3 linked regions of the Macaca mulatta genome follow. The protein of the gene in region 1 interacts with the protein of each later gene in a pairwise test. Links are inferred from orthologs where the notes say so. Each region holds a gene or a part of one and is shown on either strand. Other genes may lie near its edges.

Region 1 (4,779 bases):
TTAGTAGAGACGGGGTTTCCCTATGTTGGCCAGGCTGGTCTCCAACTCCTGACGTCAAGTGATCCACCCGCCTCGGCTTCCCAAAGTGTTGGGATTACAGGCGTGAGCCACTGTGCCCGGCCAATAAATTTTTATTATAACTTTGTATTTAAGTAAGTAATGAGGAAACAATATGGAAGAACGAATACTTCATTTTAATTTGTCTTATCTTCCAGGGTGACTGTGAAGATCATGCTAACCTTCTGTGCAGCCTTCTTCTTGGATATGGATTAGAAGCCTTTGTTTGTGTTGGGACCAAGGCAAAAGGAGTACCTCATGCATGGGTTATGACTTGTGGAACTGATGGGACCATCACTTTTTGGGAGAGTTTAACAGGACACAGGTTAGTCTACTAAGTGTATAAGGATATTAAAATGAAGTTATAAGTTTTTTTTTTTTTTGAGACGGAGTCTTGCTCTGTTGCCCAGGCTGGAGTGCACTGGCACAATCTCAGCTCACTGCAACCTCCACCTCCCAGGTTCAAGCCAATTCTCCTGGCTCAGCCTCCCAGTAGCTGGGATTACAGGTGCACGCCACTGCACCTGGCTGATTTTTATAATTTTAGTAGAGACAAGTTTTCACCATGTTGGCCAGGCTGGTCTCAAACTCCTGACCTCAGGTGATCCACCCACCTCAGTCCCCCAATCACGCTGGGATTACAGGCGTGAGCCACCGTGCCCAGCTTAAGTTTTAAGTATTTTAAATTATAAGGGTTTTTTGTCCATATTGATGGTACTTGAAGGTACGTGTTGATGATTTTAGTTAGAGCCTTTTTAGTGATTACGTAAAAAAGTACTTCAATTATGGCAGCTAAGTAAATGAACTCTAAGAAAATTTTTACCTCAAATATTCTTTACCAACATGATGTTCGTAAACAGTAAATTATATTTACTAGTTGTGTATGATTAGCATCTTTTTTTTTTCAGTTTTCTCTCTTTTTTTTTTTTTTGGCAGTGTCTCACTCTGTTGCCCAGGCTGGAGTGTAGTGGCACAGTCACAGCCCACTGCAGCATCCCCTTCCTGGGTTCCAGTGGTCCTCCTACCTCAGCCTCTTGGGTAGCTGGGACTGCAGGTGTGCACAGCCATGCCTAGCTAATTTTTTTGGAGGGATGAGGTTTTGCTGTGTTGTCTGGGCTGGTCTTTAATTCCTGGGCTCAAGCAGGCTGTCCGCCACGGCCTCCCAAAGTGCTGAGCCACCACGCCTGGCCGGCATATGTTTTTTTCTGATGATCATCCCTAAGCCTGAAAATAAGTTCAAGTTGTAAATCATTATTTCTTTTTAAAATTTGATGTGGTTACCATCTCCATGTTGGCAATCCACTGGACACATTTTTTGAAGTACTTTAGCCTGTCATCAGATTTTGAAAGAGCTGAGTACCTCTGTTGTAGGACTTCCTCCTTAGTTCAGCTAAGAGCTGGATCTTTGTCACACTGCCACGAAAAATTAGGCTCGTAGGCAATTTGAAGGGGGAGAAAAATGGAATTTATTGGACAAAAAGGAAAAAAACTGGGAAACAGGGACCCTCCACAAAGCCAGAGCGCCCGCTAGTGTGCTTCCCGCCTCGCAGATTCACTTCCAGGGTCCACTCAGGAAGAGGAGGGGCCAGGCTCCTCCCCACTGCAAATTGCTGAACTTGTGTGGCTCCACCCCAGTGTACGCTCCTCCCAGTGCACAGGCTGGTTGGAGTTTCTCTGGGGACCCCTTTCCACCTGGCTGTCTCACTTCTCTTCCTGGGATATTCTCTTTCCTTAGCTTATTTCTTGTAATTGTCTTTCAGTATTCATTATTCCTCTCTGGCTGTTCGCAGTTTTTCCTTCATCTTGTCTTCAAATGCATGTGTTCTAGAGGCTTGGCCATGGGCCCTCTTCATTTCCCTGAGTCCTTTTTCTCCCTGGTTGATAATCATGCACAGTGATGTTTTGGTTAGTTGTGCCTAAAAATGCATAACCAGATTATTTTAATTATGTTATCTAAAGCAAACTTTTTTGATTTTTTTTTTTCTTGGAGACGGAGTTTCACTCTTGTTGCTCAGCCTCCCAAGTAGCTGGGACTACAGGCACGCACTCCCACGCCCAGCTAATTTTTGTGTTTTTAGTAGAGACAGGGTTTCACTACGTTGGTCAGGCTGGTCTCGAACTCTTGACCTCAAGTGATCTACCTGCCTTGGCCTACCAAAGTGCTGGTATTACCGCACCCGGCCTTTGATCTTAACAGTATACACAGAATGTATTCTGTTGTTTAGAGTTGGTTTCAGTATTGTAAGATGTACCATACAATTAATACAGAGTAATCAAATTGTGGAAATAAAGAAAAAAAAGTATTAAACTCTAGTTCTGAAAAAGTAGTTATGGCCTTAAGTGTTAGAATAATTTTCTCAGTAAGATGCTGCCTTCTTAATTTTTAAGTTCTCATATGTAAAATTATTTAATTTTTTTAGGTACATCCATAAACCTGCCAATCCTGATGAACCTCCAGTTGCTGAACAGCCCAAACCACTGTACCCATATCGAACGATTGGTTGTGTTTTCAACCATCAGATGTTCCTGGGAAACTGTCAACCGTCTGATGCAGTAGAAACCTGTGTCTTTGATTTGAATGATGAATCCAAATGGAAGCCCATGAGTGAGGAAGCAATTAAATCTGTGTGTGCTCCTGGAGCTACAACATCCCTTCCTCCCTTTCCACCTCTGTGCGCGTCCACAATCGACGCGTCAGTAACAAGCAATGACATTGAGATGCAGCTGAGGCTCCTAGTGTCAGAGCACAGGAAGGTAATTCACACCGAGACCGTTGTGGTTTCCTACTTCTTTTCATTTGTGTATTGTTGTATTTAACTCTTTTCTGGTGTGTGTGATAGTGCCAGTCACTATTCTAGACCTGAACAAAACAACTATAGTCCCTACTATTATGAACCTTATAATTTTGAAAGTCGTGAAAGTTTAAGTTCTGAGACTCAGAAATCTCCAAATTAATTAATACTTACAGAATGAATTACTTCCTCTTAGAAATGAAGAATGGTGAACCTGTTCACATCCCTTAGAGTCAAGATTTTTGCTGAATACCACTATTTGGATTTCCTCTTTGTGAAATGCTTATTCACATATTTGCCCCTTTAAAAATCCTGGGTTAGGCTGGGCTTGATGGCTCACGCCTATAATCCCAGCACTCTGGGAGGCTGAGGTGGGTGGATCGCTTGTGCCCAGGAATTCAAGACCAGCCTGGGGAATATGATGAAACACTATCTCTATTATTTTTAAAAGAAAAAATATGTATACTGGGTTATATTTTTTTCATATTCATTTTTCTCCCCAGGTTGGTTCCTGTTTGTTTTCATATTATACTCAACTAAGTAGATGTCTGGCTTTAATCTGCATTTCCCTGATTACTTATGAGATCAAGCCTCTTTTATTTTTATTTTTATTTTTTATTTTTAAGATGGAGTCTCTCGCTCTGCCACCCAGGCTGGAGCGCAGTGGCGTGGTCTTGGTTCACTGCAACCTCCACCTCCCAGGTTTAAGCAATTCTCCTGTCTCCGCCTCCTGAATGACTGGGATTATAGACATGTGCTACCATGCCGCCAATTTTTGTATTTTTTGTAGAGATAGGGTTTCACCACGTTGGCCAGGCTGGTCTCGAAGTGATCTACCTGCCTCAGCCTCCCAAAGTGCTGGGATTACAGTTGTGAGCCACTGTGCCCAGCCAGATCAAGCCTCTTGTCAAATAGCATGAAGATTTCCTTTGTAAAGTGCCTTTAAGAAGATATAAAAAGTATTAAGTCATAAAGGAAAAGATTATATCTTAAAGACTTAAGTTCATCAAAAGAAAACATTAAGAGATTGAAGCTGTGGGGTGGGAAAAGTTATTTGTAACACGTATCACCAACAAAGGACTCGAATCCAAAATTCCTACAAGATTGAGTTCTCATTCGCCTTTTAGGGTTCCCTGTTCCAGTCCCCACCTTGGGTGAGCCCTGTTTTCTATGTTCTTTGAGGCTATCAAAGGCAAACTGATTTATCAAACATGTTCTCTGGGTTCCCAGTTACTCTTAGCTTTGGCCTCTAATATATTTCTTATTCACTTGTCAACTTACCAAAGCATTTAAATATATATTTTGGAAAACTTGGCGTTTGTAATATGGTTTCAGCAAGAGTTGGTCAGGATACCTCTGGTCCATTATATTGCTGGAAATGAATGCCCCTTATTACTTTTTATTTCCTTCCATCACTTGTATTGCCTTTAGCTTTCTTTTCTTAGGTTCTGCTTACAAATAAAAGCAGTATCTTATAAGAATTACTTTTGGCCAGGCATGGTGTCTCACGCCTGTAATCCCAGCAGTTTGGGAGGCTGAGATGGGTGGATCGCTTGAGCTCAGGAGTTCAAGACCAGCCTGGGTAACATGGTGAGACCCTGTCTCTACAAAAAGTACAAAAATTAGCCGGGTGTCGTGGCGCATGCCTGCAGTCCCAGCTACTTGGAGGCTGAGGTGAAAGGAGCCGGGGAGGCGGAGGCTGCAGTGAGCCGAGATTGTGCCACTGCACTCCAGCCTGGGTGACAGAGTAAGACCCTGTCTCAAAAAAAAAAAAAGAAAGAAAGAATTACTGTTTATAGAAAAAGAAAACGAAGCTGTGACGGATGCCAGTGTTGATCACTATTTAAGTTAAGGTGCCTATAAATCAGCAAAAGTTCACATTTTGCCACAGGAGAAGCATTGTTAACCATGGACCTTTGAGACCATTTGT
Region 2 (5,420 bases), on another chromosome or scaffold:
TATCAGGTAGAGGCCAGGGATGCTGCTAAACATCCCATAATACACAGGCCAGCCTCCACTGCAAAGGATGATCCAGCCAGAAACATCAGTAGTGCCGAAGTTGAGGGACCCGGCTCTAGACCTGACTTGCTGTGTGTCCCATAGGTAGGGAAACTGCTTCACACAGGTGCCCTGACAACATTGCTCCTCTGTTGGTTTCCACAGAGGCCGCAGAGTCAAAGCTGATCACAGACTGACCTCACCTTGGTGGAATTCCCTGTGATCCTGCCAGGGTGTAGGAGACGGGCCGTTTTGTGAGGAGCTACTGCAAGGCCATCTCTTATATTCCTCCCTCTCTTGTGAGAGGCTTCCACGAGGCAGTTCCTCATCTGCCTGTCTGGCCACTCAGACGTGGGGCTTTCCACCTCACCGCCCCACAGGTGACAATAGCAAGCTATCGTTGAAGCATGGAAGCAGTTCTTCAGACACAGGGTTCCCACCATTCCTGCTGCCTGTCATTCGGCCCCCTTTGTTTTGGTGTCATCCCGTAGGACAAGGGACACAGGAAGCTGACACCATGCGCACCTTGCCTTTGCTGTCTGTGTAAGTAATAAACTGTCTGAATCTATCCGAACTCATTATCTGCTTACTGGCTGAGTCTGTCAGCCTGCTGGACATACCCCTAGAAAGTCTCTGTTCCTATCTGACCCCCATTCCCCACCTGCACAAATCAGAAGCTAAAAGAGTATTTACTAAAGCATGAGATGTGTAAAAATCACCCAAGATGACCTCAGGTGGCACTCACAGGCATAGGATTAAGTGACTCCAAATCTCCTATCTACTTTCCAACCTTCTAGAACCTTCTATCCAATATGGTAACTACTGGCCACATCTCCTAGCTACTTTCCAACCTTCTAGAACCTTCTATCCAATATGGTTGCTACTGGCCACATCTCCTTTCTGTCTACTTTCCAACCTTCCAGAAATTTTTTCCAATATGGCAGCTACTGGTCACATCTCCTTTCTATTTACTTTCCAGCCTTCTAGAACCTTCTATCCAATATGGTAGCTACTGGCCACATCTTTCTAACTACTTTCCAACCTTCTAGAGCCTGCTATCCAATATGGTAGCTGCTGGCCATATCTCCTTTCTACTTGCTTTCCAACCTTCTACAACCTTCTATCTAATATGGTAGCTACTGGCCACATGTAGTTAATTAAATTTAAACTTAAATAAATTAAGATTAAATAAAACATTCCGTTTTCTAGTCATGCTGGCTACCTTTCAAAATCCTTAATGGTCACATCTGGCCAGTGGCCCTGAAATGGATGGTGCAGATGTAGAACATCTCCATCATTGCAGACAGGTCCACTGAATGGCACTGGTCTAGAAAGTCTTGGTGTGTTATTATTGTGTCCTTAACACCTCTCTACATCTCACAATCTCTCTCTCTCTCTCTCACTCTCTTTTTTGTTTTTTAATTTTGGTTTTTTGGGTTTTTTTGTTTTGTTTTGTTTTGTTTTGTTTTTTTACAAAAAATGATCGGGCCACATGCTTGGCAACAAGACTGTTTAGCTAAAAATTAATAGCATTAAAACATTATATTCATTTTTATAGTTACCTTCTACTTTTGGTGAGTGATGTTGGCTTTCAATTTATGGCTAGGAGGGACATTTTTAGATCCAACCCTGGATTCTAAGGATCTTCTCCCGCAGAGCTGCCTCATCCAGTGGGCAGGGTCTGGGTAAATGATACCCTCCCACTGTTGGGCCGTGCACAACCTGCATAACCTTACATGGCAGTCCTGCACACTCCTCAGCGCTTCAAGAGGGCACACTAGGAAAAGAGGACCTAGAATAGCTAAAAGTCCTAGCACTCATCTCTAGGTCCCTTCCTGTCCACCCTCTACCCCAACTCAGTATCCCCCTAGACTCACGCTCCACTCAGCACTTTCAAAGATCGCACAGTCTCGAAGCCAAGCTCCAGCACACTGGGGCACTCGGCCGTGAATTCGTGCCGCCGGCCCTGGAAGCCGTCCTCATCCCACACCACCATCTGTGCCAGGAAAAAAAAAAAAAAAAAGAAGGTGGAGATCCGCATCAGAGTCCCATGGAGGGTGAAGGGTTGAGGGCTCACCCCAGGATCTGGCAGGTAAAGCAGGGATTGCAAACTCAGATGCCTCCAGGAGCCAGGCAGGCAAGGACAGTGAGGACTGTGAGACACTAGAGAGCACAGGTGCCAGGTAGATGGGTGGCCTCTTCCCAGTGCCACCAATGGTTGCCCAGTGGGAATGCAAGCCAGACCTTCCAATTTCTCAATACGATCCCTAGATCTGGACTTTTATGTGGTTCTTCTAGGCTTTTAAAGGCTGATGATAAATCCAAAAGCTTTATAAAACAAACACACACACACACAGATGGTCAAAGAAATCATGCCCAAAGACTGCAATCTCTGCCAAAGAGTGTAACAGGTCAACTTTGGGAACCAGAAGACCCAAGTTCACATTCGACCTCCCTGTATGTGACATACAAGTCCCTTCTCGACTCTGAGTCTTGATTGCACCTCTGTGAAATAGGCATTTATAATACCCTCCTCCTAGGATTCGTGGGGACTTGAACCCTCCCCACACCTCCTGGACACGCCCTCCCCATGCCTCTTCCTACCTTCCAGTGTCCCGCTGACTTGGTGCATTGCAGGGTCATCGTGGCCCCTTCCTACAGAAGAGAAGAACATCATAATAGTCCACCCTGTCCCTCTGCTGTCCTCTTTATGTAGATGGCTGGCTTAGACCTGGTCAGGATCCACATGGGGAGTCTAGGAGTGACTGGGCTAGGGGCAATGCATGGCTTTGGCCTGTCCCTCTCCTGTCCTTTCCATCTGTCACCAGTGCCATCTTCCATCCTATCCCCATCTCAAAACTCACCCTTGCTGGGTCTCATTGACTCTAAGCCCCACTCTGTATTCTCTTATCTGCTTGTTATGGGAAAATTTCTGTGGCTGTTGGTGGGTAGGTACATCACCCCAGCAAGTGCTAAAATGACAGTCCTTCCAAAGACAACGCCTAGCTCAAAGAAGTAGCTCTAATGGTGGAAATTTAGGCAACAGGGCTACAGGAATAATTTTGTTTTTAAATGAGGGAAGCAGGTGCTGGTCTTGATGGTTGGGGCTCATCATTGGTTAGGTGAGGATGGCATTCAGGATGACACAGTGACATCCCTAGGACTGGGGACCTGGGCTCCTCACCTCCCAGGATGCTCACTCAGAACTCTGATCCCATCCCTCCTCCAAACCTGGGACTTACCGAGATAGGCCCAGGGAACATGTCAGATCTGAGACCAGCCGAGGTCAGGCTCTTATAGGCAGGGAGGGAAGAGGGGCCCCTGGGAGACAAAGCCCTGACTCAGCAACTGGGCCACAGAAACAAAAGCCAGCCCTGGCTGAAGAGCCAATGGCAAGCTGTCAGCAGCTCTGGCTTTAGCAGGGAGGGAATGGACCAGATCACCACCCCCAGGGATCAGCCACCAAGAAGCAGAGAGGTGGAATATTGGCCCTCATTAGCCCCGCAAGGTTCCTGACTAGACCAGGAGAATGAACACTAGACGAGGAGTCCAGAAGCATCCTTCCTAGCTATGTGAGCTTGAGCAAGTCATTTCCCCTCAATTTCTGCCTATAAAATGCAGCAGAAACAAACTATATCACAGAGTTGTTGTGAGGTTACATAACACACCTGGCACAGAGTAAACATTCAGGAAATGTCTATTCCTTTCCTCCTCTCATTCCCCTTTCTCTTCCAGTTGAAGCAATCAGGATAGGCTGCCTGTTGGAGGAGGCATTTGAACTAGACTCTGAAGGATGAAGAAGATATGTACAGAGTTAGACAGAAGCAGAGGCATTCTAAGAAAAGTTCAGAGGTGGGAACTTGGGGCACGTGTACAAGAAAGAGCTGGTACGGCCGGGCGCGGTGGCTCAAGCCTGTAATCCCAGCACTTTGGGAGGCCGAGACGGGCGGATCACGAGGTCAGGAGATCGAGACCATCCTGGCTAATATGGTGAAACCCCGTCTCTACTAAAAAATACAAAAAACTAGCCGGGCAAGGTGGTGGGTGCCTGTAGTCCCAGCTACTCGGGAGGCTGAGGCAGGAGAATGGCGTAAACCCGGGAGGCGGAGCTTGCAGTGAGCTGAGATGCGGCCACTGCACTCCAGCCTGGGCGACAAAGCGAGACTCCGTCTCAAAAAAAAAAAAAAAAAAAAAAAAAAAAAAAAGAAAGAGCTGGTAGCCCAATTGGCCTGGAGCTCAGGGGACCTGAAGGGAAGTGAGGCAGGAGAAGAGGTCTAGGCCAGGGCCTGCCAAGTCCACAAAGCCCGAAGATGAATCCAGATGGCTCTGTGGGCAGCATAAAGGAGCTGTTAGTTGCAAACATGCTTTGCAAACTGTAGCACACTTGCCAAATATCCAGGACTTGTACAATTTGCTGTGTGCCTCTTGTCCCTAAACCCTGCCCTCTGAATTGGCCTATGAGGGGCCTCTTACAGCATAGGAAAAGAGCATGACTGGAAACCAGATCATCTGAGATGAAATCCAGCCCTGCTGCTTTTACCATCTGGGTAACCTGGAGGATATCTGAGTCCTGCTCATGACCTGTAAAGTGGCCACACCAGTTTCCTTTTAAGAAGGTGAAATGCAGCTCTATCAAATGCATGACTTTGGGCCAGGCGTGGTGGCTCATGCCTGTAATCCCAGCACTTGGGGAAGTCAAGGTGGGTGGATCACCTGAGGTCAGGAGTTCAAGACCAGGCTGGCCAACATGGTGAAACCCCGTCTCTACTAAAAATACAAAAATTAGCTGGGAGCAGTGGCAGGTGCCTGTAATCCCAGCTACTAGGGAGGCTGAGGCAGGCGAATTACCTGAACCTGGGAGGCAGGGGTTGCAGTGAGCCAAGATCACACCATTGCACTCGAGCCTGGGTGACAGAGCAAGACTCCGTCTCAAAAAAAAAAAAAAAAAAAAAAAAAAAAAAGGAATGCATGACTTTGACAAAGTGTTGGCATGAAAATTAAAGGTTAAGAATGCAACCTCTACAGCCAAACTGCCTGGGTTTGCATCCCACTCTTGCTGGCTGGGTAACTTTAGGCATGTTACTTAATCTCTCTGAGTCTCAGTTTACTTGTGTATCAAATGGGTGTAACAAGATAAGTTACGGCTAGCCTAAGAGACAGGGGTATTGTGAGGATAAATGTGAACTGCATGTGAACAGCAGCTGGAATTGCTCCTGCAACATAAAAAATTACCGTATTTCCATCATCTTCATCATCATCATTGCTAATAATAAAGATGATTACTATTAATTATTGATCAAAAAAGCAGGAGTACATAGGTTTTAAGAGCCTGGGTTCATGAGTAAAGAAGATGTGAGTTCCAAGTTCATTTTGCATTTCCA
Region 3 (5,286 bases), on another chromosome or scaffold:
AAGGCTAGAGGGGGGCATGGTGAGAAGTGCTTGGTGCCCCTGGGCTCTGTGTCTCCTACCCCAGTCCCCCCTCCTCAAATTCCCTTTCCGGAAGAGGTACCCCTTCTAGGCTGGAACCTGCACTCATGGGTGGGCCTCGCTTAGCACACACTTAGTCTGGGCAGCTGTGCCCTCAGAACCAGGCCCTGAGGCTGGGCAAAGAGGACACAGCTGTTGGGCATCTCTGAGGTGGGCCTCAGCTGCCAGGGGTGTGGAGAAAGGCCATTGTGAGCCCTGCAGTGGACCCAACTCAGCAGGGTCCTGCCAGCTCCCCCACTGCCCATGGGGGCGGTTCTTTTCCAGCTTGGGCCAGTGTGGGGGGCTTGCTTAAGAGCTGCTAGCTGGCTGCAGCCTGCACCCTGAGGGTGCCCACAGAACTGGTGTCTCCAGACATGCAGGCCCGAGGGGTCAGCATGGGCAGTGGCTGACCCCCCCTCTCTTCCCCCGTTCCCAGCCCCTAAAACTTGCTGGCCACAGCTGCAGCACTAAGGAAGTGCAGGAAGTCCTGAGCAGCCAGCTGAGCCCCCCGCCCCCCACCCCAACCTCAAGCTGACCCCAGAGGCTGCACAGGGGGGGCCGAGGGGCGGAGCTTGGGTATTAACAACTGGAAAAGTATGAAGAACATTGCTGCCAGTCCCCAGCTCTGAGACAAGGACAGGGGTAGACGGGGGGTAGCGACAGGGCGAGAGAGAGTTACAGACTGGCAGAGGAAAAAGGAGAGAGGGAGGGAGAATCAGACACTGCAAGACAGAACAACAGAAAGAGAGACAGAGTTAGAGAGAAATTCCAAGTCAAAAATACACATCACTCATACAGACACTCGTCAGCCGATGGCCTCTTAAGGAAAGCTTCCAAGTTTGGACAGAAGGGTCCAGGTGGGAAAAAGGGCCAGACTCAAGGTGGGATGCAGGAACTCAGCTGGGGGTGACTGACTGTTCCCAGGAAAGGCCCAGGCAAATGACTCAGAGCAGGGGCAGTTAGACACCCCAGAGCTTTTAGGGTAGGGAGAAGAGCAGCTCTCCCCTCCCCCAGCAGTCAAGAGAATCCCAGCTTCTAGAAGTCACTGGATACTGCTTTGAGCCCATGACTCGGCCCTCTGGAACCCCCCTGAACCCACTGTCTTTGCTCTTGTTTCTCTGTCCCTCTAAAAGAAAGAAAGAAAAAAAAGAAAAAAAAAAAAAAAGCCCATTCCCGCACAGTGGCTGAGCCTAGAGGAAAAAGGGAGGAGGAAGCTGAAGGGGAAAAGTCTGTGATTGTGTGCATCTAAGTGTGTGCTTGGCTGCACAGGCTCCAGTTGTGTGCATCTGGGGTTGTGTGGACACGACTGTTGGTGTGGACCTGCAACTGTGGGGACCTGGGCCTCATGAACTCGTTCTGTACCTTAGTTCAGGGGACCATGTGCAAATGAGTGCACCTGTGTCTGCAGGTTCCACAGTCAATCAACTCACAAGTATTTACAGAGCAGCCCTTGTGCTAGGCTCTGGGTGGCATCCAGAGCTCTTTAAGTGATTCTCCCAGGTCTCTAAGAGCTCACTGTCTAGTAGGGTGGTATCTCAATCGATAGAGACCAAGAAGATGTCATTAGGAATGCAGGCTTTGCACCATTACGCAGGAACACCTTTTCATACAGCCAAATTTAATATTCTTGGGAGCAAGGGTTTTGTTGCCTGCAGAACCTCAGAGTTCCACAGTAAGAGTCCAGGAAAATACTTGTTGCTAAGTTGTGTATACATGTGTTGATGTGTAACTGTGTTTGCATCTGACTGAGTGATAGCGACTGTCACGGCAAGCAATGATGTCTGTGTGACTGGGCTCATGCGAGCACGTGTGTGCCTGTGAGTGACAGGGTCTTTTGTAATTGTGCGGCTGTGTGCAACTGCTCTGTGTGCATGCATGCATGTGACAGTGACTTTTTATGTGTGGGTGACAGCAACTCCTCCTTGCCCCAGTGTGTGACAGCATCTCCGTGTGACCCTGTGTGTGGGTGGGTATGTGCATGGGTCGGTCCCCATGCTCTTGGTCTCCCGTGGGTATATCCCACCCGTCTGAGCTCCACGGTGCAGCAGCAGCCTGCCTCTTCCCTTGTCCCCATGTGGGTGTGTCCAGTAGCTCCTGTCCTTGAGTCCGCCTGGGTGTCCCTGGGTGTGCATGTGGCTGTCTGTGTGGACATATCTCTGTGTCTGCATGTCACTTTTGCTTCCCCCCCTTATTTTGGACAACAGCCCCCTTCATCCCCTCCCCCTCCTGGAGCCAAAGGCAGCACTGAGGGGCAGGCTCCCACCTCACTGTCTTTCCTTCTGTGTCCCCCACCCCCACCCCTGGAACGGTGGTTCTTTCAATTGCCCCTGTCATCCCCCAGGCCTTTCTTTCACGCTGGACAAGGGAGGGCCCCACATGCAGAAGGGGCACCAGAGACACGTTGCAAGGGGAGGGAAACAAGGTGGGGTACACAAACAGGTCCATTTCTCCCTGTCCTCCCCAGCCAGCAACTCTCCTAATCATCTAGGCACCATCAAGTACACCCCCTCCACACACACATTCCCCCCAACAGCCGCGTTTTTGCAATTAGGAGTGTTGCAACCAGACAGCCATGCTCAACTGGGAGGCGGGTGAAGCGAGGGGGGGAACTTCCCTCTCCCAGGACCCGTGCAAGCCCACCACCGCCACCGCACTCATACTGCCCTCCGCAGCTGGAGGCAGCTTTGCAAAGGCCACTCGGCCTCAGAGGCTAGGGGTGGGGGCTGGGGGGGGCAGGCCTCCGGCGCACCGTAAACAAACCGCGGCGCGGCGGGCGGGGGGAGCTCCGGCGGCCGGCAACGGGGCCCGGCCCGGGAATGCGCAGCAGACTGGCCGGACAGAGGCCGGGCGGGCCCTCGAGGGGGAGGCTCGGACGCCATCTCCGCCTGCGAACCCCGGGGCCCACCGACCTCCTACAACACCTCCCTTCCCCAGGGCGTCAGTTGACGCTCCCGGGCTCGTGACAGGGTCACTGGGGTGCCGGGAAAGGCTGAGGCTGGCAGCGGGTACCCCCTGGGCGCCCCCAGCCCGCCTGGGAGCTGGCCACGGAGCCCCGCGGCTTTGCATAATCAATCGCAAGGCATTTGCATATTAATGCCCTCGCTCCCTCCTCCTTACCTCGGCGTGGCGCGCTGGACCGGGCTGGGCAGCGACGCGGGGGTCTCAGCGCCCCGTGCTGGGGGCGTCCATGGGGGGCCGGTGGGGCCCGGGCCGCCCGCCTCCTGCGCCCGGGTGTGAGTGCGAGTGAGCGCGGGGGGGGCGGGGGGCGAGTGTGGCGGCCCCGCGGCTCCTCCGGCAGAGGCGGCGGCCGCTCTGGCTCCTCCCTCCCCCGCCCCGCTCCGGCTGGGGCTCGGGCTCGGCGCGCCCGGCCGGCTCGCGGCTGCTCCCTGCAGGCCGCCTCGCCGCCGCCCGCCCCCGCCCCCCGCCCCCTGCCGCGCCCCGGGACCCCCGCCAGAGGCCCGGCCGCCCCTCGGCCGCTTCTGCCCCGCCCCGCTCTGACTCGCCCTCCCCCGCCCGGGCGGCTCCCGCAGGAGTGGGTACTTGGTGACATATTTTGGAAAAGATGTCATTAAAAAATAGCCTTTGCTTGCCGGGAGAATTGGGGGGTTTTCGGGTGTGCACCGTGGGGGTGGAGGAGGAAGTATCGACGAGCCGCCTGCACCTTATACATGGGGGAGAAAGTCTAAACACCAAATGCTTGCAGGTGTAGAGTTTGTTTGGGTGTTCGGGTCCCTTCTCCGCCAGTAACTCACTGTGTGACCTTGACAAATCGCCACTGCTGTCGGGGGCAGAGCTTCCTCAAGCTTCAGGTGCGAAGGCTGGGCAGGTGACCCCTGATGTCCTTTTAACTTCAATCATCTTACGTTTTTAATCCTTGTGGGGGCTCATTCCCCGTTACCTCCCTCCCCTCTCATTTCTAACATCAATACCGAACCACTGCCTCCCCTTTCCAACGTCACCCTTCTCCATATAGGCTCTTTCTATTCTCTGTCACCAGCCATTTCCCCAACAATCTGCTCCCTCTCCTGCGCTGGGGAGGGGACAAGAGCTGCCATACCCCCTCAATTCCTAGCTCCCCGGTGATGGTATTTCCCCCCATGTTTGCTCCCACGAAAATCCAAATGGTACCAGAGTCAACCTAAGGAAGACGGTGGGCTGCGTACAAATGGACCCCCTAACCCAACCCAAAGGAGAGGTCTCCACCATGCCAGCCCCACCCCCAGCACACACATACACACACCACACACCTGCATTCATGGACATAAAACCAACCCAGTGACGCCAGAGCACCTTTCATCTCAGGATCTCCTAGCGCCAGGCTGAGCCCTAATTACCCCAGCACCCCCCTGGCCCCGCCGGTTCCCCTGCTGTCATTAGCCCAGTTTTACCAGCGGGGGCCACGGCCTTCCCACGGCTCTCAGGGTGGGGCTCTGGCTACACAGTCTGCTCTTGGGGAGGGGTGTGTGTGTGTATGCGAGTGTGTGTGTGTTAGGGGGAGCTGCTCGGCTAATCGCCCAGTTTATACTGGGCAGAATCACTTGGTGAGTGTGGGATTCTGACCCACAGCTTACCCAAGTTGGGTTGCCCTTGCTCATGTCTTAGTATCAGCCACCTGCATCCTCAGTGCTGTTGAAGCCACTTCTTTCACAGGGGGTACTGGAGTTTGTAATTCTTGGTGGAGGGGAGGGTACCTCTCTTGGGGTCCCTGGAACTATGGAGATGAGAAAAGCAACTGGGATGAAACCTATAGCGTGCAGAGTGCAGTGGTGGTGTTGAGGGCATGCCATGGGTGAAGGGAGCCTGTGGTGTGCAGTGGCAGCTGTAATGGTGAATTGAGGCTGCAGCGTGCGAAGCCTCCATGCAGTAAGCGAACCTGTGTTCAGTCTGGGCTCACAGGAGACAAGCAACAGCTGCAGTGTGGGGCAGGAGGCTGCAGCGTGCAGTCAGTGCAGTGAGCAGAACGAGGTGCACTGAGGGTGGCTGTCTGCCAGTGGATGCCACCTTCTCAGTGATCAGTTTTGGCCAGAAGCCTGGGGAGCAAGGCTGCAGTGTGTAGTGCTCAGGGTCTGTACTCTACCCTGTATGGAACTAGTCCCTTGGGATTGGGCTGCTCAAGGAGCTGGGAGGGAATCCCAATGCATGAGACACATTTACACTCTGCACCATAAAGGCAGAACTAGGAGGCAGTGGGGAGGGCCAGCAGTAATCTGGATCAGGGCAGGAGTGATG

Evidence for each region. The genes of interacting proteins can lie anywhere in the genome.
Region 2: the proteins of CEP76 (region 1) and CRYBA4 interact in binary tests that used the Homo sapiens proteins (3 or more experiments, as listed by UniProt). The two-hybrid records come from large-scale screens. The link is inferred for Macaca mulatta from reciprocal best matches to the Homo sapiens genes CEP76 and CRYBA4.
Region 3: the proteins of CEP76 (region 1) and THRA interact in binary tests that used the Homo sapiens proteins (3 or more experiments, as listed by UniProt). The two-hybrid records come from large-scale screens. The link is inferred for Macaca mulatta from reciprocal best matches to the Homo sapiens genes CEP76 and THRA.

What each region holds. Positions count from the first base shown.
Region 1 is NC_133423.1:83,352,391-83,357,169, reverse strand, and holds part of CEP76 (centrosomal protein of 76 kDa), read left to right. Parts: intron 1-215; coding exon 216-382; intron 383-1,796; exon of another isoform or gene 1,797-1,973; intron 1,974-2,477; coding exon 2,478-2,811; intron 2,812-4,779. UniProt on the Homo sapiens protein: Centrosomal protein involved in regulation of centriole duplication. Required to limit centriole duplication to once per cell cycle by preventing centriole reduplication.
Region 2 is NC_133415.1:24,935,347-24,940,766, forward strand, and holds the start of CRYBA4 (beta-crystallin A4), read right to left. Parts: upstream 3,303-5,420; coding exon 3,282-3,302; intron 2,695-3,281; coding exon 2,644-2,694; intron 2,036-2,643; coding exon 1,917-2,035; intron 1-1,916. UniProt on the Homo sapiens protein: Crystallins are the dominant structural components of the vertebrate eye lens.
Region 3 is NC_133421.1:64,420,133-64,425,418, reverse strand, and holds the start of THRA (thyroid hormone receptor alpha), read right to left. Parts: upstream 3,303-5,286; 5' UTR 3,175-3,302; intron 1-3,174.